Linked DNA regions of Oryzias latipes. The protein of the gene in region 1 purifies or fractionates together with the protein of each later gene. This does not show direct contact. Links are inferred from orthologs where the notes say so. Each region holds a gene or a part of one and is shown on either strand. Other genes may lie near its edges.

Region 1 (2,873 bases):
GTTGCGTCAGGAATTTGCTGCTGCAAAGCTGCAAACTTGCTCAGTAATGTCAAATAATATATTTTTCAATGGTTTGCAGGCCTAAAATACGTATTTTTTCAGAGCAATTTAATTCAGTGTATTAAGATAGACAAATGCTTGTTTTAAGTGAATGAATATCATAGTGATACTTTAAGCAAAACTGTCAAGTGGCTACTGTAATTTTGTTATACTAAAAGTATTTTTTCTATTTTGAACACTATTGTTGCAGTTTACATTCTGATTTTATTTATTGAAAATGTAAACTGTTATGTCTATCAACTGGGATTTTTTTATATATGGTCACATATTTTAATTTATTTTTTCCCCATCTGCTTGAATGCCTCTGACAGGAGCTCATGAGCTGGAACAGATGCAGCTGATCCTCAACACAGTGCCTGTGCAGAGGGAGGAAGACAGACAAGAGCTATTACAGGTGACGCCAGAGGACACTTAAAGCTAAACAATTCCAAAATCACATTACATTAAATCATATCAAATACCGGTAAATTAAAAGGGTTAGAGTCGACATTTAATCACAATATATTTATAGAACCTTTTTTATCCTGCTTTCACAGGTCATGCCTTCATATGTCAGTCATGGATGGAGAGTCAAGACTCCCGTCTCAGAATTGCTGCCTGAAGTGGATGCTCAGGGTGAGCCTGGGGAATTATGGGGAGCTTGAAGGGGGAAGCGAACCTGTGAACTGTCAGAGAAAAGCATTGGAAGAGTCTGAAAGAAATAAAATACAGAAACTCTGACACACTGACTTGTGTCTGATGAAAAGATGAGAGAGATGCTGAAATATGCCAAAGAGTACAACGTAAAAGCTTTAGTTATTCTTAGGAATCTCCCCTTTTTGTTCTCCCAGCTGTGGACTGTCTTGAGCGCATCTTGACCTTTAACCCCATGGATCGTCTGACAGCTGAAGCAGCACTGTCCCACCCTTTCCTTCAGCAGTACTCCTGTCCTGAAGATGAACCCATTTCATCCAATCCCTTTCACATCGAGGATGAGCTGGAGAGCCTCATCTCACAGCAGAGCCTAAGCGCCAGCAGCAGTCACACCTCCAGCATCCACTGGGATAGGTGCAGATTCTGTTCTCTTTATTCCCTTGGTTTGCTAAATAAATACTATACAGAGCAAAGTGTTTGATAGCAATGCCATGAATTATTATTTTGACATAATTATTGCTTCATTACATTCGGAAAAATACAACATGTTATTACATAAGTATAGGGTCTGATTAGAATTCATCAGAAAAAGAAGACAATGTATAAGTATCATTAAATTTATTTACTGTACATTATAAGATGTATTTATTTATGTAAATTACATTATAAATAAAACATATTGTACATAAATCGATGATAAATATGTATATCTATGTATGTATATCTTTATATGTGCATACATATACATAACTATACATGTACTACAAGGAAATGTCAATATCTTTCCCATCTGCAGGTATGACAACAGTTTATCAACTGGCATGTGCTGGCAACAGTCAGCTGACAGGTGTCGCTGCATCCCCGCTGGTCAAGTTCGATCTGATCTGGGAGATAACTCAGAGAATGAAGAGGTGCGCAGAGATCCACGGGCCAGTTTCAGCTCGCTGGCAGAGGAGGCTCAGGTTGTCAAGTTATTTCGCTATTATTGATTTGTACCGACTGAAGCATCCTGTTTCAGTCGTATGAAAAGAACAAAGCAGCTAGGGTGAATCCTTTGAAAGACAAAAAGGAGCATTAGTTTGCTGATATTGTATTTCATATTGATTTAAAAAATAATCTTTTCTATTTACCATGATAGTAAGAATCGCATATGTTCAAATAAGTGTCTTATTTTTTAAAAAGGGGAAATAAGACTGTGGCTCCTATTGTTGTCAGTGAGAACTTTACCTGAATGGCTCCTTAAGTGTTGAAGGTTGCCAACCTCTGACTTAGAGTCTATGAAATGGTTCAAATCACGTGACCTCAAGTTAATGTCAGTCCTATTCTCCTAATTTGTTTCCTTTTTTTATACAGGTTGACCCACGCAAATACTCTCACAGCAGCTCAGCCGAGCGCTTCCTCGAGAACTCTCACTCCTCGCTGGAAAGAGTTTGTGGTGTCGGTTTGGGGGAGTTAGACTGCGGCCGCTCGTGCGACTACAAAGTGGGCTCCCCTTCATATCTCGATAAAATTGCCTGGCGAGAGGGAAAGCCTCAACATTACTCCGAGCCTAAGCTGATTCTGGATCTGTCTCACTGGAAGTGCAAAAAGAGCAACCTGTCAATGCCTGCTGAGCCCATTGGTGGCAGCATGGAAGACCTGGGGAAAATGAAGGAAGAAGAAGCAAGTAAGGATGAGGAGGAGAGTGAGAATCTGTTTCAAGAAATTTCTCGCTGGGTGGAGAGCACGCAGTGTCGTTTTCACTCTCCTAGTCCCAGTCCTTCATCAGAGCAACGCTCCTGCTACACCTCTTCTCCACCTCTCCCGCTCTCTCCCACTGATCTCCAAACACCCGTCTTCCAGTACACAGAAGTTGTGGATCATTCATCAGCTGAAGATGAACAACTCAGCCTCTTTCCATCTCTAGCATCCTCTTACAATAATCTTCCCTCCCTTTTCCCCTCATCACCAACAGGTCTTCTCTCTCCGGACGTAACTGAAAGACTTTTACCTTCCGACACTCTCCACTCTCAACATAAGGAATCTCAACCCCCTTCCTCCACCTCCTCTTTAGCTCCGTCAGTAAAAGCTGACTCTTTGGAGTCTCTGCCTGTTAAGCATAAGGAGCGACTGCTTGACCTGGACGCTTTTATATCTCGGGCACTCCAACTATGCCGGCAGAATAAGGAGAAAGCTAATGG
Region 2 (4,190 bases), on another chromosome or scaffold:
TCTCACCTTCATCAGGAAGAAATCTCTGAAGAGATGGAGGCTTGATTATGGAGGACTGAGCAGAAGAATGTGCAGTGGTTTTTAAATTACATAATTGTCCGATGAGTTCATCCGTGATGGTTATTCCTGTGTTTAACTTCTCCCAGTCTTGATGAGAAGGAACCGGGGAGGCGGGATTATGTGCTGAACATGGTGGGAGGACAGGTATAGGTTGTCCTGTGGAGTCCAGGTGTACTTCCAGGTCGATGGAGCGAGTGTGAGGCAGGATCATCCGCTTACACACAAACTGCTCTCCCCCCAGCAGATCCTGTAGAGCAGTTTCAGCCTCGACTACTTCAGGTTTCTGGCACACATCTGACTGTGCAAATGTCCACAGCATTTCTGCCACCTCCTCCCTGAGTTCACGGCTCAATCGTGGGCCGGTCCACTGGGGCAGCTCCAGAGCCACAGCTCCATCTAAAGTCAGCAGGTCCTTTTTCAGCTCCAGCTGGGAGCGTTTCAATGCTAAGTGGACAAATTCGGGGCTTAAAGCTAATGCAACCAGGTCCTCTGGGAACTGAGAGATGAACACTAAGCCTAGTAGACCTGTGAGCAGGTGCTCTGGGTACCGCTGAAACTCAGCTTTCCTCTGCCTCAGGGCTTCCGTTAGGCTCGGGTAGAAACCCGGACTCTGAGTTGGGAGAAACCCCAAAGAGCCAAAGGCCCACAGTAATTTGCAGGAATCTTTACTTCTGCAATGCGGCGCCAGGGAAGGAATTCTCTCAGCCACAGCAGAGAGGATTCCATCATTACGGTAATGAAGAGCTGAACAGGTTAATGTCACATGCATCAGCCCTTGAACGCCCATCCCGTGACTCCGACGGGGAATCTCCTGCGCCATCGCATCCAGCCATGGCTTGTGAAAAAGATAACTGAAGCGCATGTACTTCAGCACGTTCACTATCCCAAAGTTGCTCATCTCACTGACAAAGGACAGAGCCCTGTCAACAATACGAGTCACTGCGCTTTCAGAAACTGAAGTTTGGGATTTGAAAAGGCCTAAGCAAACCGTGCCGACCTCCTCAGGATGCAATAGATGTAAATGATGCATAAGAAGCTGCTCTAGCGGGCGAACCAAGTCTTTTGGGCAGTGTCTCCCTTCACCTATGATATAAAGCAGGTGCACCAGTTCAGGGACATTGATCTGACCCAAATGGAGGTGGACTGAAGTATACAGGTACTCTAAGAACTGAGGCACCTGCCTTCCAATACAGCGCCACAAGTCAGCTGCAAACAACAGCTCTTGAAAAGTCATTTGCTTGGCCCGCTGGCTCAGCTCCTCCTCATAAGTCTCAAAAATCGCGTGGGAGGACGGCATCTCCACCCACACAAACAATCGCAGCACCTCCAGCAGCTCAGAGAGGGAAAAGAGGCGAAGGTGCTTCACGGAGTATCGGAGCAGCGTCAGAAAGCGCGGGTCGCTTCTCAGCAGCGCCATCTTGTCAGCGTGCAACCTGCTGAGTTCGGCCAGCAACTGGGACACATCAGACGGTTTCATTCTGCCCTTTAACAAGGACACGTTTTGAAGAACAGGCAGCACCTCGACCCATTCAACCGGATCCGGACGCTGAGTGAGGTCAAGACTCGTGGAAGCGTACTCCGGTCGAGTCTTAAGGAAAGCACGTGGATTTACTTTAACATCTGGTGTTACTGTCTTTTTGTGAATTTGCAGCACTGACGTTTTGTCCGTTTCAGGGGCCTTATTGAAAGCTAAATCAAGAAGTTTATTTGAGCTTGAAAGGTGCCGCGAGCAACTCACGCTGTATCGATTGCTCTGTTGCCTGAAAGACGGTACAACGTCAGATGGCCTTTGTTCTTCTTCATGGTCATCTGTTTGACTGTGGGAATTTGCAGAGTCCCTTGAAGGGTAGTAATAAGATGAAGGATTGTAATACAGTCTGTACGGGGATGGAGAAGGGATTTGGCGTGACAACGTTTTCTGCTCCTCCTGATGATCAGTCTCCTCTATTAGTTTGAGGTGTACGTCTTCAGCCTGGGAAAACTTTTTCCTGAACCCATGGACAGAGTTCACTCTGCAACCGTGCCGACAAAGCACTCGGGCCGCCATCATGTGGGAGACTAAAATGAAAAAGAAAGCAATTTGAAGGACAGCAATTTGAAGAAAATAGGAATGTTTCTTATATTAAATTACAAAAAGAATTTAAAAAATGTCTCTTTTGTCTGTCAGAAAAATCCAAAAGAGCGGCCAATAATAAGAAAAAACACCATGCACTTTGGTATTATTTGGCATAATTTAAAAGTACTTATTTAATAATATTTTATAAAATTGCATGCCATTTTTGACCGCTAGTCCCAATGTTCAAAAGTCTACCTTTTTGGTGTATTTAATCATGTGACCTACTTGGGATGTTTCAGAGGTTTTCAGTAAAACTTTATTGGCAGTATTATGATGTCAAATGATTGTATTTAAACAACTACTTAGCTAGCACAGCTGAAAATAAATAACAATCAAAAATAAGGACTTAAACTTAATGACAACGATTTGAGCTAGCAGAGGGTAAACCTAAGTTCGTTCATGTCTGTGAAAAAATATTACTGTGTGTCAAAGAGAAAATAGGAATGTCTAATAGGAATGTCATAACGTTCAGTTTAATGTATTATTATTATTGTTGAACTCACCTTTTACAGTCCACGGAGGACACGAGCAAGAACCTCATGGAAGTCAACGGATGCTTCACTGTTCGAAGAGGTCTGAAATTACACCGGAATTGGGCAGCAATCTTTTCAAAATAAAAGTAAAAGTGCTCTGTAAAAGATTTGTCATTCTGATTCAAGATTAAAAAGGGGTTTCTAAATCTTTATAATGTCATAAGGAATGATAAATGGTTTGTACATGACTGAATAGGCCCTCAATAAAGATCTAATAAAACTTGAAGTCGTTGCGTAGGTATTATATTATGGCAGGAAACCATTTCCGGTTACAACAGCCATCCGTCAGGAGTATTGACCTACGGGTAATAAAAAGGTCCAAATTAGAAACGCGAAGTCTTTTTTTTAATACTGTTCATAGCTCTAAAATGTATTTCCCTATAGTTTAATCGCCATTATTAAACAACGCATTGTGAAGACAATTCATTTTTTTGTTTAAGCATAATTACATCTGCATTTTCACCGTTTATTTTGTGATGTTTGAAAAAGCAAAGTAAACTGTTACACCATTGTTTGTCCTCCGTTAATTATTGAATGAATTGAGTTGTTTTCAATTCCATTTATAAATGCGTTTGAAGCGCTACAAGTTATTTCATTTTGGAACCATAAAAAAGCTAAAATGTTGTAAAGTTCGAGTCAGAGTAACCAATCGTGGTACCTGTATATGAAGAACTTTTTCATGGTGTCATGATGACTTCAGCTGTAAAACATTTGAAAAATATTTACGTTAAAGACTTTTTATTAGGTTTCTATCACTTGCAAAAACAAACAAAAAAATACAGAAAAGTTAAAAAATATATAAAATTTTAAGACAGCGTTTGGCATGTTATGCAAATATTAGATCATCTGTAGACAGGGTTTTTTTTTATTATAAATAAGTTTTGTCCCTTTTTTTAAATTAGCCTTGACTAGCAAAATCACTTGTAAAGAAAGAGACTGGTCTTTGGAATATTTTCTTTGCATTATTTTAGTTAAACAACAATAAATAAATAGGGGCCAACATATGCCTCAAGCATTTATAATGTTTTTAATTTATTATTATTTATTATTAAAATTATTATTTAATCATGATGGTTTTCTAAAGCTTGATTGACAAATAATCACATTTGATGATAATTATGCAATTTTTAAGTAGCCTAGTTTGATTTATTAATAAAATACATGTCCAATATTTGGGGGTGAAAATGGTTGTTTTTCCTTCACTTTCAAGTTGCTTAAATTGTGTGCTGGGTCCACTGAATCCGTTGATTTCAGGACTGATGGAAGACTTACTTGTTCAAAATAATGTTTTGTATTCGGACACTTTCAAATTGAAGCACATAAACAGTCAACATTTCAAAATTAAAATAAGGGAAATATGCTGATTTTTACATAAAAAATCAACTCAGTGTAAATGCAATATATATATATATATATATATATATATATATATATATATATATATATATATATATATATATATATATATATATATATATATA

The links. Proteins that work in one complex are often made in the same cells at the same time.
Region 2: the proteins of mapk4 (region 1) and fastkd5 purify together in Homo sapiens (affinity purification with mass spectrometry; 3 studies listed by BioGRID and IntAct, with this or other methods). This does not show direct contact. The link is inferred for Oryzias latipes from reciprocal best matches to the Homo sapiens genes MAPK4 and FASTKD5.

What each region holds. Positions count from the first base shown.
Region 1 is NC_019867.2:9,597,204-9,600,076, reverse strand, and holds part of mapk4 (mitogen-activated protein kinase 4), read left to right. Parts: intron 1-371; coding exon 372-454; intron 455-596; coding exon 597-675; intron 676-890; coding exon 891-1,107; intron 1,108-1,489; coding exon 1,490-1,655; intron 1,656-2,046; coding exon 2,047-2,873. UniProt on the Homo sapiens protein: Atypical MAPK protein. Phosphorylates microtubule-associated protein 2 (MAP2) and MAPKAPK5.
Region 2 is NC_019879.2:23,598,155-23,602,344, reverse strand, and holds the start of fastkd5 (FAST kinase domain-containing protein 5, mitochondrial), read right to left. Parts: upstream 2,801-4,190; 5' UTR 2,680-2,800; intron 2,119-2,679; 5' UTR 2,111-2,118; coding exon 1-2,110. UniProt on the Homo sapiens protein: Plays an important role in the processing of non-canonical mitochondrial mRNA precursors.